Linked DNA regions of Drosophila melanogaster. The protein of the gene in region 3 interacts with the protein of the main gene of each other region in a pairwise test. Each region holds a gene or a part of one and is shown on either strand. Other genes may lie near its edges. The genes, in order: CG17364, CG5151 and CG8191.

Evidence for each region.
Region 1: the proteins of CG8191 (region 3) and CG17364 interact in a two-hybrid assay, tested with the Drosophila melanogaster proteins (one large-scale study listed by BioGRID).
Region 2: the proteins of CG8191 (region 3) and CG5151 interact in a two-hybrid assay, tested with the Drosophila melanogaster proteins (one large-scale study listed by BioGRID).

Annotation. Positions count from the first base shown.
Region 1 is NT_037436.4:13,987,473-13,998,566, forward strand, and holds the start of CG17364 (uncharacterized protein), read right to left. Parts: upstream 5,929-11,094; 5' UTR 5,504-5,928; exon of another isoform or gene 5,357-5,503; intron 1,155-5,356; exon of another isoform or gene 956-1,154; coding exon of another isoform or gene 470-955; exon of another isoform or gene 406-469; intron 1-405. Other genes in the region: CG9040 (uncharacterized protein), read left to right, coding at 470-955; CtsK1 (cathepsin K1), read left to right, coding at 6,880-6,928, 7,319-8,308, 8,388-8,998; CG17361 (uncharacterized protein), read left to right, coding at 9,734-10,366; CG17359 (uncharacterized protein), read right to left, coding at 10,691-11,094.
Region 2 is NT_037436.4:16,158,286-16,169,183, forward strand, and holds the start of CG5151 (uncharacterized protein), read right to left. Parts: upstream 6,417-10,898; 5' UTR 5,384-6,416; intron 1-5,383.
Region 3 is NC_004354.4:15,727,651-15,737,795, reverse strand, and holds CG8191 (uncharacterized protein), read right to left. Parts: upstream 5,619-10,145; 5' UTR 5,606-5,618; coding exon 4,568-5,605; 3' UTR 4,555-4,567; coding exon of another isoform or gene 4,243-4,554; 3' UTR 4,133-4,242; downstream 1-4,132. Other genes in the region: CG11679 (uncharacterized protein), read left to right, coding at 1-232; Arp6 (Actin-related protein 6), read left to right, coding at 763-1,959; MagR (magnetic receptor), read right to left, coding at 2,304-2,407, 2,475-2,552, 2,622-2,697, 3,190-3,243, 3,344-3,427; CG12379 (uncharacterized protein), read left to right, coding at 3,873-4,085, 4,243-4,554; HUWE1 (HECT, UBA and WWE domain containing E3 ubiquitin protein ligase 1), read right to left, coding at 6,649-6,751, 6,829-7,019, 7,094-7,259, 7,323-7,644, 7,709-7,897, 7,965-8,366, 8,439-10,145.

The DNA.
Region 1 (11,094 bases), on a different chromosome or scaffold from region 3:
TGAAAAATTATATAATTTTAAAGACGTTTAATGTCATATCTATTTTTTCTATAAAACTACTAGCAGGTCGCCTAACGCGTAAACCATAGACAAATTGTTCAAAAATCCAGATAAGACATTTGTGACCTTGGCTCTTTTAATATAAAAGAGTTTATATTACTTTTTCGTGCTCTAACACAAAATATAATTTCATAATTTCAACATATAGCAATCGAAAAATGTTAAACAAATACAAGCAGCACACACAGGTGCTCTAAGCCACCGAAAATTAAGACGATGAATTAAAAAACCAATATTTGCATTCTACAGATGTACATAGAAAAATAATGTAAAAAAGCTTTATATATTTATAAATTTCTTCAGAGGAGAAAAAACTATAAATACCCAGTGTTGAAGACTTTTAAACTCAGACGTTTATACCTAAGGTTACCTATCTGTTCGTTGACTCTATAGATACAAAAAAAAAAAGATGAGGCTGCTGTTGGTTTTAAGCCTGGCCATATTGGTTGCCTTCGTAACGGGTGCTGATGACACTGACGATGACTATTACGATTATTACGACTATGGTGATGACTACTATGACGACTCTGATGTAGAGTCCAGTTCGGAAAGTGGTGTTGGTGCATCCAGTAGCTCAGAAGATGATGCTAGTACCTCCGAGGACAGTTCCTCCGGCGAAGCTTCCGATACAGGTAGTTCTTCAGAAACTTCTGGAGATGGTTCCTCCGCCGAAACGACCTCCAGTTCAACTCCAACCAAGGCAGAAAAAGCCAAGAAAACTGCTGCACGCAGAGCTAGACGGCGCAGGCGCACCACCACCGCTGCTCCCAAACGCAAAGTAGCGGCAGCCGCGTCTGCCAAGAAGCAAACACCTGTTGCCCAAAAGAAGAAGACACCTGTGGCAGCCAAGAAGAAGGCGAATACTGCCGCCAACAAACGCAAACGCACAGGCTAAGCAGTTCGAAAAAAGGATAAATTCCCCATAGTCACTGAAAGTTTTTACATCAAACTTTTAAGAGGACCAAGAGACATCTTGTAGAATCTACATTAGTCTGGGAATATTTCATATGTTGTTTTCTGTACAAAAAATCCATATAAAAATACAAAGATAAGGAGACGTTTTGTAATTTACCAAAAATATACATTATTAATCCAAAATATACAACAATTTTGTATTTGAGGGCTTAAATGATCTTTCTTCGGAGAGAAACTAATCATTACAAATCGTTTCTGAATACTTAAAATCGAAAGCCAACTAAAAATCAAGTATTCCTTAAAAGGAAAAAAATTTTTTGAACGAAACATTCATTTAATAAACTGTTGTGGTTTATATACAAGTCTCTGCAGCCAGATTAGTATAAATCGTTCTAGTGGCGTAGTATTACCAAAGTCAGCTGCATTTTGCTGCATATTTTTAGGCGCCCACATTTACATTTACCAGCGCTTTGGCGCATTGTGTTTCTATTTAGACGTAAGCCAATAGCATCTATAAATAGTAATTATGCCCTCATACAAGTAGACATAAATGCACAGGGACACTTAATTACTGATGCGCACAGGCGACAATTGTTTAATGGCGAAAGGATAACGAAAAGGGAGGAGCCTGAGTAGCGCCATCGGCCACCACAATGGGACCATTGTTTTCGATTTCAATGCCGACATTCTGGCAGTGGCACTGCCAACAGAAATCCCGTGTATCCAGTGCACTGCGGCCCAGATGAAAGCCACTCCGCATCCAAGTGTTTGTGTTTGCCCGAGAGAGATCCAATCTTCCAGTGTGCTGGTGGCGGCAAAGCACACATCCATAGACACAACCACACTCACACACCGATGTTTCCTCTTGTGGCACCCGCTGGGCCGCTTAGTGAGCCAAGTGTGGCAACAATCTGAATCATCGTTTTAGTTTCCACCCTACATCCCCACCACCAGATCACCAGGGTATGAACCGATTTGTGAATTCGCCGGGAATCTTAGGTTGGGATGACCAGTCAATAACAATATCAAGCAGGAAATGGTTGCAAATTATCGAAAATTCTATGTATCTACTAGATTTGGTGTTATCTACGCAAATGTCTAAAAGTTGCATTAAATTGTGGATAACTTTGATTTGATTTATACATTCTTATATATAATTTTATTTTGTTAAAATCCTTTTTTTATTATAATAATAAAACAGCTTTGATCCTGAATGTTATAAGTATCCTATTTCAGGATCCGCCAAACTAGCTAAGCTTTTACAGGGTATTACACCACACTAACACCATTGGCAATTGTAGGCGATGGGCTGACGTGGAATCAGAGGGGAGGTGGGAGCGGAGGATAAGGCTGCTGTAATATCTGTGGCTGATGCCTTAAGAGGAAAATGCGATAATGTGCGCTAAACAATGAACAATGCAGAAATGGCATAAAAATAGCCAGAAGTGGGATATGAAGTGGGACACAGCGGCGGGAATTATAATGGAATATGTGTTTGCCTCCGAGGATGATAACGGCCAGGATGATGGCGGTCGGTGGTGTTGCTTTGGTTAGCACTCACAATGATGTGATGATGATGGCAAGTGCCCGATATATGCAGATTGTAGGTGTGGCTGCTGACGTTGATGGGCACCTTTGAGGAACAGATCGTCACATTTTAGATACTGCTTTTGACATTTACATGTTTTGCAATGCAAATCAGATGGGGCACAGACTGGGGCTAAATGAATTGGAAATTTAAAAATGACGACCATTTATTTACATAGGTCTCGCAAACAATCTTTTCAATTATGAGACAATCTTGTCCATGTTTGTGAAATATGGATAAATATTTAGAGCATTTCCTTCACATACATATTTTTATCGTTCTTTACTAGCTAAATAGTTCTATACTAACCAATCTATACATGAGTGTAGTTATATCTCTTCTAAGTTGATATCTTTTGCAATATTTAGCACATAAATCAAACTTTTGAAAATTTTTCACATTGCTCACTTTTTGATAAAAATCTTAAACGCCCAACAAAGACATAAACTTCCTCCTTGTGGATGTATAATTTGAAAAACAATTTGCATTTTCTCGAGGGCAATTTATTTTCCATTCCTTCGGTGCGGCAAAAAGTGGCTGAGGGCAGGGAAACTAAAAGTTTGCTCACTCCAAAGAAATTTTCTCTAACAAGGCATTTAGTTGGCAAACAAAAATACGTGCATATTTCTAACCCGACGGTGGGCAGAATGTTTATGTAATTACCGACACGTTTATAAGCGATGGCGTTTTTGTCAGCAGCACAAGGGGCGGCATAGGGGCAAAGGACTCGTAGAAAGTGAGCGAGTAACTAGCAAAGAGCAGAGCAATTTATTTAAGTGCGAGATATTTTTATGTCTCGGCAAACCATTAAAATGTGCATAATGCAATCCCTTCCAGCACTTTGCATATAAATTTCAACCGGCTGGGGCAAGTAGCGCCATAGCGGAAATGCAAGTCCAATAACAAGGGCAGTCGAGAACGAAAGGGATTGGCATGGGCTTAGTGGCCATTGCATACACTGTTAAAAAGGGTGTTGCGAATACAAATTTCATTTCATTCAGAATCAAAAATGTTCGCTACGTTTTCGGTGTGAATCTAGTTAGATTATTGATTTCGTAATGTGTATTTAAGGATCACATTTATTTATTTTAATTGACCTTATTATTCTGTATTTCAAAATAATATTTTCATATTTAATAATACAAATTAATAAGAGAACATAAAATCAAAATTTTATATGTACATACATTTTTATATTCGCATTCCTTTTTGAATTTGTAACCCTTTTTCACTCCATGTAGACCAAAATAGCTTATTTTTTGAGAGCCCACACTTGCAATGCCAATGTGAATGAACGCACATCCTGCTGCTCCTGTGTGTGAGTGTGTGTGTGTGTACTAGGATATACCTCAGAACCTCTCCGAAGGGAGAGGGGCACCGTTACAGTAACGGTAACGGAAGCAACGAACGCAAACATCATCCTGCATTCTGCATCGCCGAAGCTTGCTTGGCCCGCTCTCTGCCTCTCTTCCTCTCTGAGAGGAGCAAGTCGGAGAGAGCGGAAGAGCGGTGCGCCTGCCCCTAGAGAGTACCGTTGTTTCTAGCGGTACATAGGGCTTTACGGAAACTGCACTCGTGTGCGTGTGTGTATGGGGGTCCTACTTTTAGGCACTGATAAAGGCAAATTTACATACGCCGAAATGCCCCACCGCCCCCAGACTCCCGCCCACTTGGTTTCGGCCACGGCTTTTGGCTTCTTATGTGTCGCCGATGCCGATGCCGTTTAAAATGTAGGTTACACACAGCGAAAGAGGACCCGCAGACGCACACAAATCACATTCACACAAAAACATTCGCACACATTCAGAGCGAGAGAGAGAGAGAGCAGCACACAAATGCACGTGTATACGTATATGCAATATATTTTAGAACTTTCCGTTTTTCCCTTCGGAACGTGTCCTGCTCTAAGGTAATAAAAGTTTTATAATTTTTTGGTTACACACACACACGCGCGCGCGCCTATGAGTGTTTGTGTGTGTGTGTTTGGCTTTTGTCTTTCACTGGGGGCCCAAGTCAGCTGGGCCTTACAGATTTTGATTCCCACAAATTCAAAGTTACGGACTCCGTGACCCGTAAAAGTATGCTACCAAAACGAACTATTCGCCAGTTTTGCGAGAGATTAAAACGTGAGAAAATTAAAAAATGTTTTTTGGCAAACTTTTGAAAAGGGCTCATAAATAAGAAAGTTTTGCCTTTCAGTTTGGTTCCAGGAATTTAGGTAAATGTTATTTAAAAATTAAATTTACTAGTCTTTTTTTAAATGGATACGACGTTACTATTTACATATTTCTCTTTTAGGGAGAAATAAATGATTCTCTAGTTTCGCACATAGGATTTTGATTATCTACACTAAATGGTTAACTATTTCTTGTTAAAAATTGAGAGAAAACGAAGTCAAAAGTATTTTTATATTGAATCACATTCATTCCACTAAAAGGCCAAAACAAATATGCTTCATATTACAAACAATCCTTTTACAAAGAAGCTCTTATTCCTTGCTCAAAATGCAATTTTCGTTCCACGTCAATATCCAATTACACCTTAAGAGGCATTCAAGGTCTTCTAGCATCCTGCTGCTTGTGCTTTTCCACGAACATAATTTATATTGTTTTTGTTGACTTTTTGATGACCGACTGTGTGAGCTGGTGAGCGGCGGAATAGAGAAAATGTAACAACTGTGACAAGGGCAGGAAATGCTCCTCTATGCCCATAATACTATACAGATTTGAACCAAAAACACATACATATAAACGCCAACAGCTATGTACATACATATGTATTGTATTGTAGTACCTATGTATGTGGATGGATCATGTATATGTATGTTCGTCTGGGAGTTCTTGTTTTTGTGTGGGGATTCAAAAGGCCTGCCAAAACAGCCAATCAGGAACCAATCAGCGATAAATCAAAGTTTGATTTCATTTTCAGCAACGTTGCTACCTTTTTCGGACTGCTTTTCCTCCGCCGCCAATTACAGAAACATTTTGTTTTCGCCTATCGCGTTAAAACTTTCACATAATTCGCCTAACTTGGCGTTTAAAACATTTAACTTTGGCCAATTCGGCGCAGGCAAAACTTTTTGCCTCACTGGCACGCACACACAAGCACTTTTCGTTTAATTTTTAATGCACTTTTAATTGCGTTTTCTTGTACGGCGCACTTGTACGGTTTGCAGTTTGCATTAATCCACGTCTTACAACATTACCAGATATCTGTGTGTTGTCTAGTTCTTGCTGGTATAAAAAAACCATGCGATTTGGGAATCGAACTTGTGCGATTGGCGAACTTAACGGTACTGAGCCGAACCCACAGCTGTAACGGTAAAGAACGATGTGTGGGCGAGGACGACAACGACGACGATGCTGCTCCTTCGGTGGTAGCTTGACATCTGCTCGGGGTCCTTTCGGGATCCCGTGCTGTCCGACTATCGGTTCGGTTTGAGAGCGGGCGCAATGCAGCAAAACTTGGAGTAGGTTCAAGTTCCGAAGAGAGGGTGAGACTTTATATCGCTGAGACACAGAGAGAAGGGAAGAGAGAGCCGAGAGAGAGTCGTTGTGATGAGACAGATGAGTGACTATCTATACCTCCTGACTGTCAGCTGTTTAACGAATTTAAAAATAGAATTTTTCCAATCCCGATTTTGATCCCTAGACACGGTTTTATTTTTTTCTGACAAATTTTTCTATTTTAATCTTGAATATTAGATCATTCGCGGTTTTTTCGATTATTTTTTATTGAAAGCTTAGCCAGAAAGAAGTGCATCCAATATTTTAAATTAAAAAAAAAAACATTTAATCTCAGCACTTTGGTCACACTAGATGTATAAAATATCTGTATAATCATGTGCACCCTGTGCACGCAATAAAAATTGTAATTGCTATCGATATTTAAAATAATATTGCAAAATCAAACTAAACCTCTTAAGTTACAAAATCGAAGCACATGATATTTTATTAAAATAAAGAAGCAATTCTTCAGTAAGTGAACAGAAAAGATATTTCTTCTAATAAAGAAATTCTTAAATAAAAGAAAATGTTAACGGATTACATAGAATTGCGAATAATTTGTAGAATAAAATACTACCATGACAAAAAGCAAAGAACTTTGATAAGCTCTTATTACAAACTAGAAAGCTCTTCAACCGATTAATACCGATGTTTTTCACGGCGGCGTTATCTCCTCACCCATAGAAAGTTGTTGTTAAAGCAATCGGACTATTGAGCCGGCAGAACAGTTTAATTCTTCGAAAAGATAGGTAGTATACTAGAGTCGGGATCAATTAATATTCCAGACAATTCTCTGGTGAATTCTCAAGAATGCAAGTGTTTTTAGCTTTAGCCCTGCTCGCAGGCTTGGCTTTCTCAGGTGAGTTATAGACGTTAGAATGCTAAAGTGTTTAGCCAAACAAAGAGTAATTGTTTCTGCGTTTGTGTGCGCTTTAAACTAATGCACACATGCATATATTAAAACAATCGAGGTCATCGTTTTAGGATTGAAACTTTAGCTTATCATCATTTTTTTTGCCATGAAGTATATTTAAAAAGTAAAAAGAACATGTTTTTATTAAACTTTTAAATTAGATCAAATAAACGTAAAAGGGCATGTACTGCTATTTTGACCGCAGCTGTATATATACGAAGTATATAAGCAATGGCGTGAGCTTAAACCTCGATGGCTGCCCTTTACCGTTTCTTATTGTCAAGTTCCCGCTCATTTCTCATCTGAATCTCTCCACACTTTCGCCAACGACAATAGCTAATGCCACGAATCCGCCGAAATGGGATCCAAACTACATAGTCAAAGGAACCCTGTACATTCCGTACGCCGAGATTGCGGAACCCTTCTACGCCTGGTATGACAAGAATACGAGGCGATCCCGCATCGATTACTACGGCGGAATGGTGAAGACATACCAACTGGCTGGCGAGGGTCAGTACGGAACCCTGCTGAAGCTGGCACCGATTACCACCAAGACGGAGAACAACAAGCTAACCTGTCTGCAGGTGAATGGCACCGCCGACCAGGCTGTCGATATTCAGAGCATCCTGCCCGATGCGAAACCTTTCAGCCTGGTGGGCACCGAATCCTTTTTGGGCTACACGTGCGACAAGTTCCGCCTGGAGTCGACAATTGGCCAAAAGAAGAACATCTATACGCTGTGGGTGCGGTACAAGAAGTCGCCGCATTATCCCTCCAGCCGAATGCCCATTCCCGTGCGCTACGAGATGAGGGGCTATAACACCCTGCTGGGATCGCACTACGATCATTACTACTTGGACTATGACAGCTACGAGCACGATGATATTCCCAACGAGGTGTTCGAGATCGATGACAGCCTGCAGTGCGTCGGATTCCCCGGACCCGGCACCGGTCACTATGCCACCTTCAATCCCATGCAGGAGTTTATATCCGGAACCGATGAGCATGTGGACAAGGCCTTCCACCATTTCAAGCGCAAGCACGGAGTTGCTTATCACAGCGACACGGAACACGAGCATCGCAAGAACATCTTCCGTCAGAACCTGCGCTACATCCACTCAAAGAACAGGGCCAAACTCACCTACACGCTGGCCGTTAATCACTTGGCCGACAAGACCGAAGAGGAGTTGAAGGCACGACGAGGATACAAATCATCGGGCATTTACAACACCGGCAAACCGTTCCCCTATGATGTGCCCAAGTACAAGGACGAGATTCCCGACCAGTACGACTGGCGGCTATACGGCGCTGTCACTCCGGTGAAAGGTGGGTTCATTCATTCCCTAAGTACTTACTTAGATGAATTTGATAATATTGAATTGCTTAAAACGTAAACTACCCTTAGATCAATCTGTGTGCGGATCGTGCTGGTCATTTGGCACCATTGGTCACCTGGAGGGCGCCTTCTTCCTGAAGAATGGCGGCAATCTGGTCCGGCTTTCCCAGCAGGCGTTGATTGACTGCTCGTGGGCCTATGGCAACAATGGCTGCGATGGTGGCGAGGATTTCCGCGTGTACCAGTGGATGCTGCAGTCCGGCGGAGTGCCCACGGAGGAGGAGTACGGTCCCTATCTGGGCCAGGATGGCTACTGTCACGTCAACAACGTGACGCTGGTGGCACCTATTAAGGGATTCGTCAATGTGACCTCCAACGATCCAAATGCCTTCAAGCTGGCTCTGCTCAAGCACGGTCCTCTGTCGGTGGCCATTGATGCTTCTCCCAAGACATTTAGCTTCTACTCGCACGGAGTTTACTATGAGCCAACGTGCAAGAACGATGTAGATGGACTGGATCATGCTGTCTTGGCCGTGGGCTATGGCTCGATCAATGGAGAGGACTACTGGCTGGTGAAGAACTCGTGGTCCACCTACTGGGGCAACGATGGCTACATCCTGATGTCGGCCAAGAAGAACAATTGCGGTGTTATGACCATGCCCACTTATGTGGAGATGTAGATTGTCCCGCTCCCGCCTACATATTTCTTATTTTGTGTACTCTTTTTATTTTTACGCCCACAGGGCGCTAAATATGCAATACATTTCATAAACTCTTTTGTAATCCAAGTCTTTTGAATCTTATCACTGCTCCGCTTGGCTGGAAATGGAGCTAAGTTTAGCTTGGGTCATTATCTCCGCAGTCCATGGTGTTTCTTAAGTTAATTCCATGCCGATAAGCCGATAAGCCTAGAAGACAATGACCAGTTACCAGTTGAACTTTGCGCAAGTTGCAACAGTTTTATGCGAATCGGGGTCTTTGCCATTTGTAGTGGAAATCATTTCTACAGTAAAAACTCGCTACATTTTTAAAAATTTTAATCATTTAATTTCATCAATATTAAATTAAACATATAATTAGTTTTAAGAATCTTTACTTTGAATAATGATTCTAAAAATAAGTATACCTTCTTATTTAAAAAACTTGCAAGCAAAGCATTGAATTTTTACATTAAACCCGTTTTACAGTTTTTCAATTAAAATAAATTAAAAATATAACATGAAGAATACTTTCAACTGATTCTACAATTTTCACTGCTACTACATTTCATTTTAGATTAATTGTTCATTTTAAATAATATATTTATAAGTTAATTTGATATAACAACAAATAAGTCTAAATTTAAATACATATTTATTGGCATAGATGTTGCATCCCTGGAATTGCGCCAATTGGTATTTTTCTGTTTTGGCTTGATGGTCATCCGATACAGTTTAGTTATTCTTTTTGAATTGTATTTGCTTGGAATCGAAGGAAGCAACGAAGCCATGGATGAATTGGTGAAGATGTGCCGGGTGTGTATGGACGAGCCGAAGGACCTGCTAGACATCTACGACAACAAGAGCTTGGGGGACAGACTGAGCGACGATCTACAGCGAACCAAGGAACCGGAGCCCACGCCGGCTGATTTGCTGAATATCTGCAGCGCATATCCAGTGGATACCGGGGACGGCTTTCCGCTGAAAATTTGCGAACCGTGCCTTATTAAATTGCGTGAGGCCTTGAGATTCAGGAGACGCTACACAAGGACCATGGAATACGTGGCGCGCGTGAAGAGGGAGCAAAGCGACAAGGAGACATGCGATCTCCTGGAGGCCGAGGATTGGGATTTTACGGATCGCATCAAGAGCGAGGAGGAGGAGGAGGAGGACGATGGGGACCGGAACGATAAGCAGCCGAAGAAGGAGACTCGCAACGAGGTGGATAAGAGGCGGCCCTTCAAATGCACCGACTGCCAAAAAAGTTTCACCGGCAAGGCCCAGTTGACCATGCACAGGCGCACCCACACCAAAGGATCCACAAGGACCAGACGAAAAGCTCTTAAATAGTCCTTGGCAACGCTTGGCAAAATGTAGCCAACTAAAATAGTAATTAATCATCTTGTATCATCGTTTTAAAAATAAGTTCGATATATTTTTAAAGTAGAAACAAGTTAGCGACTAATAATGAAAGTACATATGGAGTGTAGTTTTAAAAACAATTTCATGTTCTCATATTGACAATAAGATAATAAAGAAATGATAATCGGATCGATTCACAACAGTTTTTAAGCAGCTTTCTCACTTTGGTTGCGATTACTAGCTTTGTCGATTTCAAACAAGAAATTATTATATGGACATTCAATATATGAAAATACCTTTAACAAATCTTAACTATTTAAACTTATTTCTTTTTGTTTCTTGGCTGCTCGTCCGTCGCTTCCCTCGCGTGTGTGCTGACATGTGTTTTTGTAGGCCGTTTAGTTGCTTGAAGCTTTGCTGACATTTGGAACATTTGAACGGCTGTTCGCCAGTATGAGTCCGGGTGTGGACTTGCAGTTGCCCAACTTGCCGGAAGCGCTTGGGGCAGTTCGGACAACCGAAGGGACGCTCGCCGGTGTGACAACGTGTGTGGCTCTGCAGGTTGCCCTTCTGGGCAAAGGATCGCGGACATAGGGAGCACTTGTAGGGTCGCTCGCCAGTATGTATGCGCATGTGAATCTCTAGGTTTTGTTTTTGGGTGAACGACTGTGTGCAGAGCTTGCACCGATATGGTCCGGGAACCCTTTTCGGTTTGC
Region 2 (10,898 bases), on a different chromosome or scaffold from region 3:
GCGATATATATACGTATGTATGGGTATGTAGGGGGAGCATTAGTCAAGTGTCTGGTGCCTTTGCTGCACACAGTAGATCTGCTCCAATGGCTCCACACAGCGATAGCCAGCTTCCGTTTCATTTCTAGGCCTCGACTCGCCTCTTTATGGCCTTATCAGGTGGTGGCCCCCCCTCCCCTCTCCCCGTCCCCAGCTCCTACCCCTTTGCGACCGGCATCCGCTGCTGTCTGGCTGTCTGGCTGTCTGAATGCTCAACATCTACTCTATATGTACATATATGACACACTATACCATACCCTCTACTGACCACACACAAGCGGAGCACGAAGCGAGTGGCATGACGTGGCACAAGTCAGGGTCGCTCCAAGTAATCGGATACTCCTCGGGCCCAGACATGCTCCACTCGCAGATTCAGCTGAGTTTTCTAGAAGGATACTATGGGGTTGGGTTAGTCCCTTAGCTCCATGGTTGATATTAAATATTACTTGGTTTGTTCTCACTATGAAGAAAATGGCTTTCATTTGCTACCAAATTCGTGGTATAGAACATTATGAAAATCGAGTATTAAAAGATAATTTATAGATTTAGAATGCTTATTCCATTATTATAGACAACTTGAATTTCATCACAATTTTATGTATTACTTTTAGGATAGTTTTGGGAATTTCCACTTATCAATATGCTAATTTTTTAATAAAAGAGATTGTGATCATTCAATTTATAATCAGTGAAATGAAATTTCTTGATTATTAGGACCTATCTGAACAGAACAGTATTTTTTGCCAATCTAGCTTGGCTTCTACTTTCCATAATTGCTAGTCATTGTTACGTCCACAAGGACAGATAGTACATATACTATTTTATATTATAAATTGTAAATTTTCCATCTTTCGTAGAAATTTTGTGCTTAAATGCAGGTTTTTAGCCCATTATCTGTGTGCAGTTTAGTTTAATTTCACTTTTAAATCACCCCTTTTCATTCTCCCTGTACGTATGTACAAATGTACTATACTATATTTAAATATTTGTTGACTAATCTGGGCTGTCTTCTCATTTCTACATATGCGAAGCCCTGCGAATCTCCTAATCTGTGACTTTTCAGCTGGACTCTTGGGACGTCTTCAAACAATCAGGCAAAGACCGCATGTCAATCGATTAGCGATTTCGCCGCTTGTCTGTCCAGTTTGGAAATAGTGTGTGTTTGTTGTTCCTTTGCAAATCACAAATCTCGATTTGTTGTATACGTATTTTTTGAATGAACAAAGCTGATAAGCTGGTGGGAATGAATGTGTAGACTTTAGACAAAAGAAAGCCCCCAAATTCCAGATATTCGGTGAACCTTCATGTCTTGTGTGTGTATGAGTGTGTGTCTGGTGTTTTTTTTTTATATAGAAACTAACAGAAATTAGCATTTATTAGCTGCCAGCGTTGTTGTAGTGAAAATGTATGCAGGCGCAAAAGTATCGCGGCGTCTGGCGGATATCACAAAAAGTTGAGTTTCAGATAAGAAAGGAGACGAAACGCAGATCGAAATATACAAATATACAAACGAAAACAATGGAAAAGACGACAAAAGTGCGAAAAGGAGGCGGAGAAACGAATCCGAAAAGTAGTAACAACAATCGCAGAAACAGTAAAATCGAAGCGAAATAAAACAGCAAATTTCAGACTTCGACCCAGACAACTGGCCGATTCCGATTGGAATGAACTGATGACTATATATGAGTCTTCCAGTCGGCAGTCGGCGTGTGTGTGTGAGTAAACTTGATTACGAACTCCAATGATTCGCTCAATTTAAAGGGTATAAATGCGGGAACTATGAGTCGGGTATGCCTAACTGGTTAGTTAGTTAGTTAATTTGATTTAAGATACATTCTTAAATGAGACATAAAATGTAATGTTCCTATCCGCACTTTATTATATGATTTTTCTTCGATTTCTTTCCAAGAAAATATAGAATTCTTTGAATACATGCTAAAAGAATCACTTTTAAATTGTTGTTTAATGTTTTGTAAAAGATAACGAAAACCTTGTAGTTCGGAATTTTTTTTTCGCTGAGCTGCGAACTCTGAAAATGTTTCTAATTTAAAGCTCTCAATAAAACGTACAATGTTTTCTCTCGCGACAATTAGTGTTTTTATTTTTATTTATTATCAACTCAAGGGAGTGAGAGATTGGTAGCCATAACCATAACCACAACCACTCGACTATTTCACCAATTTTTTGGGGGTCAATCAATGAGCAGTCGGCATTGCCGTCGCAACAGGTGATTATCTGGCTGGTCATCTCGCTGGCGATTTCCTTATCGAAATGACTGCGGTCCCTCAATCAGTCGCCGCCCGCCTGCACCGGGGCTATCCCACCCGATCCCACCCACCTCGCCAGTCGGAATGCTCCACTGCAGCACTATTAATGACCTTGGGGAATGTTGTCGCCCGTCGTTCGTCAGTTGCTGTCCGTTCTCTAATCTCAATACTCGCTTGCTGTGTGTGTGTTGGTGGTGCACTCGCAGAAATTAGAATATATTTCAAAAGCTAAGGTGGACTTATTAGATACACTTACATGTATCTTTATAGTAGTATCTGTGTGTAAATACAACAGAATCACAGTTATCTGCAAGTCCTATTTTCTAATATGAAATTCTGTGGAAATACCAAAATGCTATTAAAATCTAAGAGCTCCCTTCCGGAATTCCATGGGTTCAATTTTTTCGAGTGTGTGGTGTTACTGCTGTTCCGATGTTTAATGCTGCTGATTCCGTCGTGGTGGTCATGTGGGTGGCGCGGGAAGTGCTGTTGACGTCGTCGGCCCCGTTGGACAGGTGCTCAAGTCCATGGGTTCTATGGGTATCTCTGTTTTTTTTTTTTTTTTTTTTTTTTTTTGTGCGCCTGTGTGTTGGGACCTCTATACGAAACGCAAAAACAAAAATATAGAGAAAAGCGAGAAGAGACGAGAACTCTGGTGATAAGACCGGCTGCCTGGCTCCACCTTTTCTCACACCGTTCAGAAGCCAAAGAAGCGACGCAGAAGCAGGCAGAAGAACCAGACCAGACGCTTGATAAGCGGCCATGGGGCGTATGAGCGATATATTGCGCGACAGGGACGGTGATATGGCAAAAACAAAAGACCTTGATTTAGCCCTATATATGTACATGTGCCTTTGTGTGTGTGTGTGTCCATATCGTCAGCTGTTTAATTAGCTTTCGATTAATTTTCTGGTCAATCGAGCCACTGTCGCCTGCTTTGCGATTTTCTCATGAACTCTTAACGAAACACTTTTGTTTTAGTTTTCGTTTCGGTTAAGCGAAAATTTTTGGCATTTTTGTAAACGACTGGGGGAGGTAAGTCAAAACATAATGACCATTTTAATGGCCAACCGTTAAGATGTTTGGAATGTGCCGGCCAAGTGAGTCAAATTTTCCGTGACAACATACGAGGCGTATGCGTAACATTCTTATGCTCTCGGGGGGTAAAATTGCAAATGGGTGCGGGGAAAACCCAAGGTGGGAGGCCATGTGGATGTGTAAAGGTAAGCCAAAGACGACAAAGCAATGGGAACTCTTTTACGTGCACGTGTGTGTGACTGTGGGAATTTCCTACAGTCGGGGAAAAGACTTTATGATCGATTTCAATGAATTTGTAACTCGCACTGAACATAATGGCAAAATATAAGGGTACTTTTTAACATTAGAGTATTGACATTCTAAAACATAACTTTGTTCTGATTACACATTTGCTTCCATTGAGAGCCAGTTTCGTAGTAATTTTTGTTTTTTTTTTCCCTTATTCTAGTTAAAATTAAAGTTAGGCGCTTCTATTGACTTCACCACATCTGTATGTAAAAGGCGAAGAGAAAAAAACTGAGACTGAGCCACATGTGAGGGTCTGTGTGTGTTCCTGACTGTTGGTGTGTGTGGTGTGCGAGCGAGCGTGTGTGTTTGCGTGTATGTGTGTGGCATAGCCAAGAGGCAATGGCAATAGCAATAGCAAAGGAAAAGCAAAAGGCAAGAGCAAAAGCAAAAGAGCTGATGAAGAGCTGGCTTACGCATGGGTTCATTGAACGGAAGTGATTTGCCTACTGCTGTGCGGCAGAGAGAGAGAGAGAGAGCGAGAGGGGGGCGAGCCACCTAGATAGAGAGGGGAGATACTACACGCGACTTTGACTTGGTTTTCGTTCGGTTCTGGTTCCTCCTCTATCAAAACTCCATGGCCCGGGCCTTTTGTCTTCACAGCCATATAGCCATAGCAATAACCATCATAGTCAAAGCCAAAGTCGGAGCCAGAGCCAAAGAAAAGCCAGAACCTTGCGGCTCCGATAGAGCAGAAAAGATAAAGCTCTTCTGGGAAGTTCTTAGCTTTTTTCTCAGCCAAAAAACCGTCTTTGCGAGATCTAATCAAAGCTAAGTCAGGCGCTTTGTGTTTCAGGTGAGAAAATCCCGATTTTATGGCGTTCTTTCTAATTAAACTGGAGTTTTTTCGTTTGTTTTTTTTTTAGTAAGAATGGAGAACAGAGTATGGGCGTTTCATAGTGCCATATTCATTTGAAAGAAACTTGATGACTTCTGTAAATATTAACATTACATTAATGTAAGCAAAATGAACTGTTTTGATTAACATTTAGAATTTTTTTTAAATTTTAATGAATATAGATATTAGAACAGACAGTTTTTATAGGCCCAAATATTAACGTCCAATTTATTTAAGTCTTTTTGGATTATTAATTAAATATGAAACGGCATTAGTCCAAAGCCCCAAAAGTCTGCCAAAGGCACACCCCAAGCCCCCCCAAGTTAAATAACCAAATATTTGTTACGTCTGTCTGCCTGACCAACAAACAATAACTAAATATATGTATTTTCCGGTCCCGCGGCTAATTTATTACAAGATGCTTTATGACAGCCACAAAAAATATTAAGGGTCTTAAAAGCATTCAAAACCGCTTTAAAACAAATGTTATACGTGCCACAATACTCTTTTTTCGTATTCCTGTCTTTTGGGGACGGAAATCATTGGCGAGGGGGTGTGATATCTGTCGTCTGGTTGGAAATAGTGAAAAATACCAGCGCTGATTTCAAAATTTATTGCATTTATGTGGACAGTGGACGGGTTTTGACTGGATTTCGTAGCTCTTCCTACGATTTTTTATTGTTTTTCGCTTTGTTTTTGCGCTGGTGTGTGAGTGTTGACAGGAAGTCGCCGGAATGCGATTTATAGAGAGCAGATTTTGGATGGAATATGAATAGCTTATAATTAGATAGCGCACACAGTGCGGCTATCGAATATTGGGCACACTTTTGCAGCTCCAAAGTTCAATTACGTTGTGCTTTTATGGCTAATCGGCTTAAAAAAAAGGTTTTTCCCAATAAAAAAGTGCTTCGCTCACCTTATATCGACGTGATACTCGCTCTTATTTCGATTTTTACTTGTGTATTGGCTTTAACTATTTTTTTTTTAGATTACAATTGATTTAGGAATTGCGCTATGTTGGAGGCATAAATTTCCTAATATTTGTTTTAACTTGACACTTTTTGTGACACTTTTTCGTCGAATTTATCTAAGCAACACTTATATACATGGTTTCAATTTCGATTTTAACTTAATTTTCTTTAATTTGTTTATTTGCTGTTATTTTTGTTGAATTTTTTGTTGATGTTATTTCTGCTTTCTGATGCTTGTTGTTATTTTTTCTGCGGCGATTAGGAATGCTTTTGAGTACAGGAACGCTGGCTATGTGTGTGTGTGTGTGAGTTGAATATGTTGGCTTTGTGTATTTATTTATTATTTGCTGCTGCTTATTTTGCTTCACTTTGTTTGGCTGCTGCTTGCTCAGTGTAAGAACTCTGGCTTGTTGTCATATTTTTTTGTTGGCGTTTCCTACTGCTTTTCTGGGTGTTTTCTGCTCGAGTTTAATTTATTTCCAGCGCGCACGGAACGAACTTAACCGAAAAGCACGCAAAGTTTCAATGAGCGTAAGCGGAAAAACACACGACTCCGACTCGATATTCCATTGCGATTTCGCACGTTTCACCTTCACCACAGAGCGAGAGCGGAACGGGTAGCAGCGGAACAAAGTTGCCTCTCTCTCAATCGCGCTCTCTCTCTCTCTCTTGGTTTTATTTTAATAATTATCGCAGGCGAAAAGCGCAAAACAATTGTTTTCCCTCATACACTAGCATCGAAAGTATGCCAACGCAACAACAACAATGGCGACAGCCATGACGTAACGCCGCCGTGTTGTTGCTAAACCTCCAGTTACTTATTTATTTATTTAGTTTCGAATCAATCACTTGGTTCCCAATAAACTAAGGCACAATCACAAGCACGACACACAAACATTATCCATTCTGCTGTTGTTGTTGTGGCCGATCGCTGGCATTTTTGTTGCTTTTTTGGCGGCGAACGAAAAAACACACACGTCCGCAGCGTCGGAGAGTTTTTGGCGCTTTGGTGCAAATACAAATACAAATCGGACTCGAACGAAACGATGACAACGAAACAAGTTTTTGGGGTGGCAGAGCGCGCAAGAGAGCGCAGAAGAGTGAAAAAGAGTAGGCGCAAAGAGAACGAGGTAATTGGAAGTTTCTAACAAAAATTAACCCAACTCTTTTGTTGTTCGATGCACAAATGTATTTTAGTATGATATGTTTTTATACCCGTTACTCGTACACTACCTCAAGCTGATTAACGGGTATGAGATAGTCGAGAAACTTGACCAGGGATTTCCCGTTTTTATAAAACCTTTTCTCTATATAAATATTACATTTATTTTCAGCTGACGATTAAATATTTGTATAATACATCATTTCATATTATTATAAATGCATCGTTTTAGTTTTTTATTAGTTTCCTTTTTATAATTTGAGAAAAATAACAATTATAAAAGCTTTATTCATTTTTATATAATTTTTTGTATTTATATTCAGTATCAATTAATTGTTTATTTTCGAATTCAGTGGTGCTAGCAACTGTTAAAACGGTTAACATTTTTAATTATTCAATTTGACATATATTCTTGAGTAGCTTCGTTTATGGGTTATAAATTATACCCTCTCATTTCGTCTCATATTATGCCCCACACAATTTGTATTCACTTTTTCATCTTACTCCACTTGCCAGGCTTTTATTTGCGTATAAATATTTATTTCGCTTTTTTTTGTTGTTGTTAAGCTAAATTTCGGTTAGCTCATTGTCACTCGATTTTTTTGCGGTTTTTCTGTTTGCCGACTTGAGCCGCCGTGCAAAGTCCAAGAAATTAAAGTGTCAGACGGGCGGTCGGGGTGGTGGAGCTGCGGGGGTAAGGGGCGCCGGCAACCGCACGTTAATTAAATTTATTTATGCAGCTTTATTTCGCCTTTATTTTATTTTTGTTTGGATTTATTTTTAATGATATGATTCACATGTGACATTCCTTTGATGATACGCGTTTCGACCTTTTTTTTGCGCTCCCATTACTGGGTGATAGTGGGGTATATCATTTGAATGCCCTATCACAAAGTAATAAATTTAAATTTAAACAATTTGACCCGTTTGCGATTTGTTGATTCAATTTTAATTAGTTGATGTGAGTGAAGTAATTACGCAGAAATCCCATAGGCCTATAATACCTAGAGGTAATGAATTTGTAATTTCAGTAATGGGTATCGTAAAGTTTGTATGCTCTATTGCATAACGGTATTCGATATTTGATTGATAGAATATTGGTTTGCATATTTTATAATCTTGCTTCTAAATTTAATGAGGTATGTGCATCAAATTGCAGACCGTTTTTAAATGACTCATTTTGCTTACTAGCAGTATTTGTATCATATATACTCAACAGTCTACAATCGAAACAGCAATGGGTAGCACATATTGTCTAGATCTGATAGTTGATTTCCATATTGGTGAGCCAGACATTGTTGCTTTGTTTTAAAATAGAAACTTCAAATATATTAGCATGTCTGCGGATTTGTTATTTTGTTGCTGGCTAGCCGGTTGTTGTTAATCGAATGTGTCGTGTCGCTCGTAGTCGCCTCAACCCCCAAGCCCCCTTTTGATAATCCACCCCCCCCCCCCCACCACCATTTAACACCCTGGAATGGCATGTTCCGCCCCTGCAACTACAGCACCCCCGCTGCGCACTTTTCAGCCGACTGTCGACAGTCGACGACGGCAACAATAGAGACAACTTATCATGAAGTGCTAATTAACATTGTCTGGCCGGGGTCTCTCACGTATGCCGATGTCTGGCGACCTACCTGCGGTTACTAGGAGAAACGCCCACCCGTCCTGCACCGCCGCCCCCTCGACCACCTCACCACACCGGTTGCACCATCGGCAGCACCTATAACCCAACCGAGCGAAGTAAAAAAAACCCGCAATTCACCCAAAACTGGCACTTGGTCGCGTCTCTCGTCTGTGTTTGCTTTTTTTGGCATACAAAGAAGTACATTTTTTCCTACCATGAATATTCCCAAAAAAAAAGTTGGGGAAAAATACATTAAAAAAAAATAAAAGAATTGTGTACACACACGACGAGACGGAACATTTTTGTTTATGTTGATAATCTAATATGTGCTGACGTATCTTCCCCATTTTTTTCTCACTTTTTTTTTATATATATTTTTTTTTATTTTGATGTGGGGGAAAGACGATTTGTGGGTCTCAGGTTGGCTATTCGCGGTGGCAATTTGCTTTCTGTTGACTTTTTGGCGGCTGCTTTGTGCCACCTGGCCGTTCGATTCATCGGATTGATCGATTCGATCGCATTGGATCACATAGAATCGATGGGATCGATGCGATCAAGTGATCGTGCCAAGGCTGTGAGCTGTCTGTCTGCATTTATAAATAAATTGTGGCAATTAAATAAATAAAATGGATGCATATGTATGCTTTTTTAATTGTCAGCCAGCGCTGAGGCGGTGCACGTGTCGTATACGTAATATGAGCTAGCGAACAGCCTTTACACCATTACCTCATGCCCCACGGCGATCGATTAAACTTTGCCGCGAGTATCGCAATTAAAGTTGCTTGAACAGAATACGTTTAACTGGAAATATTATAAATTAAACAAATAAATCACTTATAGAACAGCTTTAATGTTTCCGCTCCTTGCTAATAATTTCTTAGCAAACTTTCACTCTTCACTCTGATAATCTGATCTAATCTATCTATCTGATCACCACAGACACTTGCTGCCTATCAAATTAGCCAACTTCTAGGAAACCAAACGAGGCGGCCTGGTCTTTTATAGGGTTTGCCTAGGGTATCGCCCACATATGTGCATTAATCTGCATTCACGAGTGTTAGTCATTAACTTGCTATTGTTGTGGCTAATGCAAAAAAGACCACTTTTGACTCATTGCGTCCGTTGGCAGGGCGACAACCGACCGATTCCCATTCTGAATGTGATTGCGATCGCGTTTGTGATGCCTATATAGCTCAGCTCTTTCAGATTTCAGTTGCTGCTGTTTTGGCCTGCTGCGATTGTGATAAGCAGACTGTGGCGAGACAACAAAAGACACATCGCAGACCAGTTTGCACTTACTTCACTTGCACCGATGTTGTGATGCGATGGGTCTGCTTTTGATATTTTTAGACACCGCCAGTCAGCCTGCCGTGGCAGAATATATATATTCTATATATGTGTAACAAGAAAAGTAAAAAACAAAGGCAAATGGCGTTGGCACATCTCACACACAAATCGCATCGCCTCACATGCTGCCCAGACAATGAGTCTAGTCGGGCATCGGTTCAGATTCAGATTCAGATACAGATACAGATACTGCTGCAGATACAGATACAGATGATGATTGCGAAACACACGACTCTTCACTCGGTTCATTCAAAATTTGCCACAATTAATGAAGAGCATCGATAAGTTTGCACACGGAAAAAAACGGGGAACTTTGGTTTTATATCTACCCCTATTTCTTTTGAAATTTGAGTGGTAATGAATATAATGAAATACCTAACCCGAAATTGGGGTTTTAATTATATATATTAAGACAAATGAAATACTTAACTTAAAATTGATTACCAACTGAAATTCCATATATATATTTATATAGATACAAGTGCATTTTCTTCCGTGCATCAAGTTCGATTTATCAACGGATGCAACAGGTACACATACCCCAAAAAGGTTTCACCGCACTAATGAATTTCCTGCCGCCTTTCTCCGTTCGGAAAGACAGCCAGCTCATTAAGCCCTCCATTGACTGGCTAAAGATGGAACAATGGCCAATACAAAGAGCCCTGTCTCGAATCATAACTCATTGAACTTTTGCCGGCAGCAGCAGCCGCTGCTGAAACATAAAAAGTGTCAATCAGTGACTCTGCTGTGGCAACGATGGCGACGCCTCCAAAGTCCCATTACAATGCCATTTTTATGGACACCGCTGGCGGGGATGCTGCTCCAGCTGGAGCGGAGTGAGCAGCTCCATCTGGAGACGAGGAGTGGAGTAGTAGAAGGAGCAGGAGCAGCAGCAGACTGCAGGGTCGTAAATGTAGTAATAATAGTCGCCGAGGGCCAACGCCAACGTTTGCTAGCTGCGGTCGAGATTTTCTGGGGTTGGGTCGGCGCATCAGTGCACTGAGCGAAATGAGGTCAAGTGAAATTTTAATAACTATGCATTTAAGGGATCTTTGTAAACTTAATCGAATGAAAACTACATATTTCTGCTAAACTTTTGATGTGAATAAGAATAATTTAGATATCACGTATACGTAGTTTTTTTTGAATCGTTTTGTAATCATTATTTAAGTTATATTTAATTATTATTTGATTTTTTAGTTTTTTCTTCATAACTATGAAAGCTTTATAATTCTAGCTTAATATACACTTTTATTTTGCCAAGTTGTAAGCGATTTTCTCTCAGTGTGGTGGTCTCGCTTGTCCATTGGCTGGTGTGGAAAAG
Region 3 (10,145 bases):
CTCACGGCGCACCAAGGTGATGAACGAGAAGATCAACCACTGCGTGGAACTGGCCGAGCTGGTGTCCCACAATCTGAACGATGCCCATCATATCCGGCTCGAGTGGATGATCATAATCCTGATCATGGTAGAGGTGGGCTTCGAAGTGCTGCACTTCGTCAGCGATCACAGTGATTCGCATAAGCTAGAGGTCCTGCCACTGGCTGCTCCTGCCGCCTCGATTCCCAATTAGCAAGTAGGCTTGGTCGATAGTTTTTTGTACTATATTTGTATTTTGACGAAATATAGAATTGTTAGCGTTCCAAAAGTTTGTTTGATCTGTGCTCTATTTTTTTTTTGTCCTTTTTAATTTGTTGTTGCCCGTTAAAAACACCAAACATTACGATTTTAAAATTCTCACTAGATCCAATTTAAAAAAATGGCTAGATTAATCGACAGCACTAAAGCAGACGAAGTGTCATTTCTTTTCCTCTGTCGAAAAATGCTATAGATCTACATCGAGAATATTATAATTTTATTGTATGTGTATTTGTATTTTGCTGAAATATAGAATTATTAGCATTCCAAAAAGTTGTTTCTTGTGTTTTCATTTTGTTTTTGTTTTCCTTATTTAATTTGATGTAGACCGTTAAAACACCAAAAATAACGATTTTAAAAATCTCGATAGATTGAACAAATTAATCGACAGCACTAGAACAGAAGAAGTGTTGTTTGTTGTCCTCTTCCGAAAAATGGTATAGATCTACGTTGAGGACGAAAAGGATGGCCAACGCTGTGGTGGTGTTGGACAACGGAGCGCATACGGCGAAAGTGGGCCTGGCCAATCAGGATGAGCCCCATGTGGTGCCCAACTGCATCATGAAAGCAAAGAGCGAGCGGCGACGCGCTTTTGTGGGAAATCAGATAGATGAATGCCGGGACACATCGGCGCTCTATTACATTCTGGCGTTCCAGCGCGGCTACCTGCTCAACTGGCACACACAGAAAACGGTGTGGGATTACATATTCAGCAAGGACGGCATTGGTTGTTCGCTGGAGAACCGCAATATTGTCATCACTGAGCCGCAGATGAACTTCCAGAGCATCCAGGAGGCAACGCTGGAGATTCTGTTTGAGGAGTACAAGGTTGATGGGGTGTACAAGACCACTGCTGCCGATCTGGCTGCCTTTAACTATGTGGCTGACAGCGAGGAGCGGACTACAATGGAATCGCTTAACTGCATCATCATCGATGTAGGCTACAGTTTCACCCACGTTGTTCCTTTTGTGCTGGGACGGCGCGTTCTCCAAGGCATACGACGCATCGACATGGGCGGGAAGGCGCTGACCAACCAGCTAAAGGAGCTAATCTCTTATCGCCACCTAAACGTCATGGACGAGAGTCATGTAGTTAACCAGATCAAGGAAGATGTCTGCTTTGTGGCGGAGGACTTCAAGCAGGCGATGCAGGTGCATTATTCGGAGGAGAAGCGACGCGAAGTCACAGTTGATTATGTCCTTCCAGACTTCACCACCGTCAAACGGGGCTATGTTCGTGTTCCCGGAAAGCCGCGCGAGGATGAGGAGCAACAGCAAATGGTGTCGCTGTGCAATGAACGTTTCACCGTGCCCGAGCTGCTCTTCAATCCCTCGGACATTGGTGTGCAACAGGTGGGCATTCCGGAAGCGGTGGCCGATTGTCTGAAGGCTTGCCCCTGGGAAGCGCACCGCGAACTCCTGCTCAACATCCTTATTGTGGGCGGCAGTGCCCAGTTTCCGGGATTTCTGCCGCGCCTAAAGCGCGATTTACGTGCCCTGGTGCCCGACGATCTTGAAGTGTCACTCATCTGTCCCGAGGATCCGGTGCGGTACGCGTGGTACGGCGGCAAGGAGGTTGCGACCAGCCCCAACTTTGAAGAGTTTGTTTACACGCAAGACGACTACGAGGAGTACGGTTTCCAGGGTATCAATCAGCGGTAACATGCACGTAGTCGAAGTATTTTTTCAATAATAAACTTGATTTGCACATGGGTTTTCTAGAACATTCCTTGTCTATATATTGAACTAGGGCTAAAGAGGACAAACTGCCAGCCTGCGGCAAGGAAGCGGGTGCGTCACTTACCTAGCGCTACAACTAAAATTTAACTATAGAACACAACTTAATATTTAGAATTCGTTTGCGAAGTAAAATTTACAAAGGATGCGGTGCTTTTGCCAACAACGTAATGAGATACAAGGTCGGGCCGCGTACTGCATTTAACTTAGTTAATTTAGGTCTGTCTGCGAGGCGGGTGCCGGCGGATCTCCTCCGGATCTCCATCGGTTTACATGCTGAACGATTCGCCGCAGCCGCATGTGCCCTTAATGTTCGGATTGTTAAACACGAACTCGCTGGACAGCTTCGATTCCACAAAGTCCATCTCGGTACCTGCAAGCGAATTATACTCTGTATTAGCTGGCTTGTCCAATGCTATGCTAAGCTGGTATGAACTTACCCAGCAGCGACAACTGCGCTTTCTTGTCGATGAAGACCTTGACGCCATCCTGGACCACCTCCTCATCCAACTTGTCTGCTGGCAAAAATCGACACAGAACGCAGCATTAGATCTCCACCGAACAACATTCTGTCCAGAGTGGCTTACCTTTTTGGCTGGCATAGTCCAGCGTGTAGGACAGACCATTGCATCCTCGCTGCCGTACGCCCACCTTTAGGCCAACCTGTGGCAGAAACAACATCGAATTTCTGTCATTAACTGTGTGGCTAATTTATAGGCAGCCTTGTTTATTGACCAAAGACAAAGAACTCGGTATTCTAATAAGTCTGTCTCAATTCAAAGAATTTAATCACTTAAAAACTAAATGATTAACAACAAGATAAACATGCTCATCAAAATTTGGTCGGGTCAAAATTTGGAAAATCTAGCTGATTAACGCAGGCCGAATTAGTTAGCATGGCTTATATTTATAGCTAATAATTTGCGCTAAAATATATGACTGACTGAGGAAAAAGCCTATTGTCAAATATAATGCTTGAAGAAGCCCTCTTGCGAACTTCCTATACTCCATGCAACCAGTGCTAAAACTTAAATAACATGCACGGGAACCTTTAAAGAGCTAGGCGAGATTATCAAGATCTCAATCGTGGAAGGCGATAGAATGCCCACTAAAGTGTAGCCTTGGTTCGATGACAACTTGTCAGCAGTCACTCACCATGTCCGGCTTGTCCTGCAGAAGCGTCTTGATGCGTAGCACCGCCGCGGGTGTCTGAAAAGGATTGGGGGAGATCAGAATCATCAGATCGAAGGGGACTGTTACTTCATCAGCAGCAGCATGCGCCGATTTCACCAGGTTTTGGTTTCCTTACCAGAGTCAGAGCGGCCCGCGTCGGGATTAACTTCCGGCCTTTCACCGCCCGCACTGTCGCCGTTGCCACCACACGTGTCGCCATCGGTTCGTGCCCTTTATATAATTTGTTTGACTCGAGAATTTCCACAAAAAAAATTCGAAAATATGAGTGCTTACTACCAGATGGTCGATAGTACTGTCGATAGTATCACGTGAGATGGCATTAACAGATGTCATCGATTGGCAGTGTCACGGGATAGCGGAGAAACGGTTACTACCTGTTTGAAAAATAAGTTATTTTTAAGCCCCAGAGTCCAGGTGGACTTCATTAATAACTTAACTTAATATTTCACAGTAGAATTTATATTAACAATTGGTTTTAATGTCTGTGAGTTACAGCAAATTTTATCAGCACCAGTGACAGCTATAGTAACTTTTTAAAATCGTGACTCGCGACTAGTTTTGAAATGAAAGGAGGTGCCATCTCTAAGTTTAAATGAATTTCACACTTTTCGATTGAGTTAAATAATATCAACAAAATCGAGGATATGTCCGCCCTAAAAAAATTTTATAAAATCAGCGCAGGTGTGAGAAGAGGCGCACTACTTACCAGTTCCCGAAGAACACAAATTGATGCTTTAAATAGTCCACAATTGCAGTTGCAAGTGCATCACTTTGCAACCAAAACACAAACAGCTGTTTTTAGCAGCAGCAACAACTACACGTGCATTTGCCGCAGTATACACTGCAGTAAGCCAGTGGTATGTTTGGAAATCAGTTGTAAATACAAATAAACTACCCAATTGATATTAAATAATGTTATTTACATTTGTAATTTAAAATATTATAAATGGAATGCAATATTTAAAATTATGTATAACAAAAAAGTTAAGTATAATTATTTTGCTCTGCTCCCAGGACGATGCGGACAAGACGGTGGCCACGAATAGCATTCCTCTGGCGAAACTGGAGGCCAAGATGCAGCTGATCTACACCTGCAAGGTGTGCCAGACCCGGAACATGAAGACCATTTCGAAGCTGGCATACCAACGCGGCGTTGTTATCGTGACCTGCGAGGGCTGCTCCAATCACCACCTGATCGCCGACAATCTGAACTGGTTCACAGATCTGGACGGCAAGCGCAACATCGAGGAGATCCTGGCCGAGAAGGGCGAGAAGGTGGTTCGCCTGACCGATGGCAACTGCGAGTTTTTGCCGAAACATGATTAAACTCGTAGTGTAGTTAAGTGAAAACGAATGCCACTTTATTTAGCAGCTCCAGCAAATGTGTCCAGGAATTGGGGGGTAGTTGGGCACGCAGCTGCTGGGCGAACTGCCGGCGACATATGGATCCGGTGGCCAGCATCAGGTAGGTTATGTATGTGGCCTCGTTCACGGGCAGCTGCGAGACAGCCGTGACTGGTGCATCAGCGGTCAATTGCATCTCATCCAAGTCTAGGTAGGGCAGGTGGCGATTCCAATGGTCGATTAGGTAGGCAATAAGGCTGCCGGCCAGACGTACATGCTCCATACTGGCCCAGAATCTCATCTCATTGGCGGATTGCGATACGAACAGAAAGATATTGTGCAGGAAGCCGGTGCAAGCGGTAGATCCGCCCTCCGATAAAGTGTCACAGATCATGTGGCGCATTAGGTAGCAATCCTTGTGAATTTCGCTGTCCTTTGGCTCCCTAAAAAGCTGCAGCCACACCTGGTACTCAATCAGCTCCATGGAGCGCTTTATTGCGGTCTGCATGTCCTCAAGGCTGGATAAGCGGCCAATCCGCTTGACTAGCCGTCGCATCTGCTGAAGATCGGGATTGATAAAATCGCTGGAAGAAAGCGCATCCGATTGGCGTATTGCCGACCAGTCCAAATCACCGATCTCACTCCACGCAGGCTGAATCTCGGCCAACGTTCGATGCGAAAGATGAAGCAGTGGTGCATGAGTTTCTCCCTTTCGTGTGTTCACGATGGTGGTACACAGCTCACGAATACACTTCCGTCGATCCACCAATGCAGAGCAGCTAGCGAAGAAGCCACGGCAATCGCAGCGTTCGGCCAGCGATTGCCCGAAGCGATCATAGCACTCGAACAGGTACAGGTGAGCCTTTAGCAGGGATTCCACAACGGATTGGCTCAGTCGCAGATGGCGGTGCTCGGAGTGCATCTCCTCCTGACAATCGTGCAGCCATGTGAGTAGCTTGAGACAGTGCGGCGCCACATCTTCAAGCACGCTGCTCGTGGATAGGCTCAGTTCTTTTCGGATAAACAAATCCATACGGACTGCAGCTGTCAGCTGTCCGAAAATTCGATGTCACAATCGATAATGTCGATCGGTTTGCTGTGCATGAGATATCGATCTGTCGTTGCCCGTTGCGATAGAATCGAATTTCAAATTGAAAGGCGCCCAAATTAAATGAGATCGACATTAAGACCTTATATATGTATTTATTTATATATATGGCGTACCCATCCTTTCCAGCCGCATTTATAATGAGCATGTGAAGTGATTTCTGAAAATTTATTGTGATAAATGAGCTTATTCTTTATTCCACATTCTTTAAGTTACATCTGCGTCTCATTATTTCAAAGGTAAACATAAAATGCATTAACATAAGGACTTATCTCTTACATCAAAATACTTTAATCCATTTAAATATTTTTTCTGTTGCTTCCCTTTATCTTCGGTACGTACATTCACTTAAGTAAACAAGTAACCCAAGTGTGTAATCTGTTTATGTGCATTTGCGATCTATAAACTACGTTTAATCCTTTTCTATTCGGTTTCGCGTTTGGGTAAATGAAAATGTGTCAGTGTATTTTTTTTCTTTATATAAATCCTTTTCTTTTGATAAAAATGTGCAAAACGACAGAGATAGATTCCAAAAAATTAATAAAAAAAAAGATGAGTTGCGCAGAGAATTTTAAATCGAATATACTTTTCGCGTCTGTATCAGTTTTATATTTTATATTTTTTTTTGTTAGGTTTCCTTAGTTTTCTTCCGTTTTCTTTTGAAAATTTAAGAAAATATATATTGTATATATATATAGGCGCGAAAATTAATAATTAATTCAACATTTTTATATATACTATATAACTATATGTACTGTTTATGTATGCAGTTTCTGTTGCCGCTATCGCAAATTTGCAGTGGCTGTTCTGTTCTCTTCTGTTCTGTTCAATTCAAATCAATTATGCATTTCTCATCGTTGCACCCGTGTATTTGAGGGCGTTGTAGGAATAGTGTTGCGTCCATGGTTTGTTGGTTACTGGTGGCTCTGCCGGCTGGTGCTTGAAGCTGCCGTCACAGTTGTCGCACCTTAGGCGAAGCCAAAGCCCTCGGAGCACTCGTGTATGGCCTTCAGCAGGCAGCTCCGCAGCTTGTCGTATGACTTGTACATGGGCAGATCCAGTTGGTTGAAGCTGCAATCAGAGATGGGTAAGTTAATACGGTCTATGACATTGCAAACAATTCATGCGACTTGTGGATCCCTACTCACCAGGTGTGTGCACAGGGCAAGCGATCAGTGGATCGATCGTCCCGATGGATTTGGAACTTTTGAATCCCGTTCATGCCCTCCAGCGAGCCGAAGCCCTGCAGCGGCACTTTCGATGTGCCAGTGACGAATTGCAGGAACTTGGCGCGGTCCGCTTGGTCAAAGCTACGCAGTGCACGCCAGAACCATTGAATCTAATGAATGGGTAAAAAATACATGGTTTAGAGAGGGATGGAGGATGGAGGAAGATGCACAATCATGGTCTCACCTGCGCCGATTTAGAGGTGTACTTGTGGTACTCGGTGTTCGCCTTTAGATCTTCAATGTCAATATCCGGCAGGCCGGATATGAGAAGTTCCAGTTCCTGTTCGTTGAATATCGAAATTAAATGCTTTGGAATAATGTCGTAGAAGCCTTCAAGGAATGCGTCCAATCTGTTGTGGGGAGTAGCACGATTTAAAATCCATAGCATGGAATATAAATATATGTGTACTTACTGCTGTCGAATGGAGCCGCTCATCTTGAGCTGGCACACAAGCTGCACATACTCAAACTTGTTCTCCTCGGTCACGGCGGTGTCGCGTCCGTTTGGCTTGAGATCCCGGATTTGGGTGACACCGAACTCCTGCACCTCGGTGGAGAAGGTCAGCTCGTAGCCCAAGGTGGAGATGTCGTTCTTCATCAGATAGTCGAGACCCTTGTAGAACTCGTAGTCCTGCGACTCCATGTCCGTGTGCTTTACCTGCTTGCCCAGGATGTGCTTGTAAAATGAGCGAGTGAAGTAGCACTCCAGCAACTTGTTGTCGTGCACAGCCTTGGCTATTAAATAAGATCGAAGGGATTATAGAACGCTTGATATAGAAGGAGTATCTAAGAGACTTACCAATTACGCGGCCGACAAACTTGAAGTAGCTCAGGTGATTGGGGTTAGCATGGCTGGAGGGATTTATCATGTAGGTGACGCGATCGCCCGGCGATACGCAGAACAAGGCATACATCGGATTAAAGATCTCGCGCGATATGATCACATACCACTCGCGCAACAGGCCGCCAGCGTCCTGGCCTTCCTCATCTGTAAGGCAGATAGATCGCAAGTATGAACATCGCTAGTTATTCATTTCTATTGTTCGAAAACTTACCCTCAAAGACGATGTAGAAGCGGTTCTTCCACTCCTCCGGACCCAGACGGTACAGGACACGGAACGAATCCTCAAACACGGTTACGCGACGAACACTGACCGTGTGCTCCTCACGCCGTATGCCCTCGTCCAGCCGCTCCAGCTCCGTCTGGAAGTACTTGCGCTTGACATCAAAGTCAAGAATGCGTGTGTGGTCCACAAGCACGGCAAACGGTCCGTCGGAGAGATGAGTTGGTGACTGGCGCAGTATCTGGTTAAGCACGGTGCGGTGCTTCTCGGCGAATTGTAGGAATTTTTGCCGGTCCTGCCTCAGCTGCGCCTCGTGCGCGCTCATCGCTGTGCTGGTCGAGGGGTTGGTCACAAGTGGCGTATTCGTGGATGCATCTTGCATTCGCGGCTCATCTGGTGATTAGGTTATTAAAAATGTAGCAGATTGATTATATGGAGAATGTTTTGCATATTTCCTAAACTCACCATCGAAACTAGCAGAACTGGGCGTGTTGGCGCTGCTGACATCGTCCATAAAGGGACTGTACTCCTGGGCAGATGGTGCGGCTGCTCCCAGTCCTCCGATCGCACCGGCGCCGGCGGCTGCACGCAGTCCAAAGCCCGCAGCGTTAGGCATAAAGCTGCGACCCGACTTCTTGGACGCACCGCGATGCGAGGCGTGGATGAGGAAGAAGGCCTCCACGGTCGGTTGCAGCACCAGGACGGCAAACTCGTCCTTGGACTCCTCCAATGCCACTAGGCACTCGCTGAGCGTGTTCCACAACACGTCCAAGCAGAGGATCTGACTCAGAGTAGGCTTGGTCGACTTGCTAGCGCTTGCCACTGCATGATTGCCAACTCCTGGGAAAGATCTGGCCTCATCGTCGTCCTCCTCGTCGTCATCGCCATCTTGTGCGATCTGATTGGTTTCCATGGGTGGCGGTGGAGATATTGTGCTGGCAGACCCGGGAGCCATATCTGAACTGCTGCCGCCGGACGCACCACCATCACCCTCAATATCAATGATATCGTCGTCGTTGTCGCCGGCACCACAAGCGACTCCACCGCCAGTGGACAAACCGTTCTGCGCCTCATACATGTCGCGTACCTGCATGAAGATCTTCAAGGTTCGCAGGAAGTACGGCTGGGCGGACGAGTTGGACATGAGTTTCTTCATCGACGGCAACTGCAACTCGCAGGTGGGCTTGGCATTCTTTGGTGCCGAGATGATCACGTGCTCGGCGGTGAAGCGATCCTGCATTATGCCCTCGTGCACGGCCAAGTTTGGCAAGAGACTGGCTCCGGATACTGTGGGTACGTATGATGCTGTTGCTGCAGCTGCCCCGGAAGTGGACGCCGCCTGTGAAGTGGTGCCGGCCCCGCCTTGATGAATGTTATACATGCGAATCTCGTTGAGCAGCATCTGTATCGCTTGACGTACCTCCTCGGCCAATCCCAATATCGCAGCGGTCAAGTACTGAATGAAAATGGCACTAGATGCCTGCGAGCACTGCGTTAGATTCACAATTAGCTTGGCTACGTTGTCCAGGCCCTCGGTGGTGCCGCACTGGTGCGTCAGCACCTCAATGACCAGCTGAAGCTGCGAAAAGTTCTTCGAATAGATCTTTCGACGCGGTTTCGATGGCGTCACCGGCAGGGCCACACTTAAAGTTGGCAGCTGGGTGCGCTTCGCTCCCGCATTGCTATCACCGGATGCAGGATTACCACTGGCCGGAGAAGCCTGCTCCTCAATGTTGGCGGCCAGACCGTCACCAATTTCTGTTGCTGTTGCTGTATTCTCGGCTGGTGGTTGTGGTGGTGGGGGATGTGCCGCTGCCGCCGCCGCTCCCGCTCTCTGCACCGGACCAATGGGTACCAGTGGGGGCATTTGATCGCTGAGCGGCAACAGCTCCTCCTCCTTTGGCAGCTCTGTGCTGAGCGAGGCGAGCAGCTTGACAAGCATATCGGTAAGATGGGGCGATCGGCATATAACCTTGTAGGGAAGCATTTCCAGCAACTGGCCGAATGGTGATTCGCTGAACGAGAGAAAATCCGCTGTATTCGGCTGCCATTCCCACGCCGGTTGCGAGGTAAGCGGAAACTGGGCCACATTGGCCAATCGCACTTGTGTCTGTTGATCGATGTTTAGCACAACATCCCAGAAGTTCTTGGCGTTAGTCTGGTACGGCACCG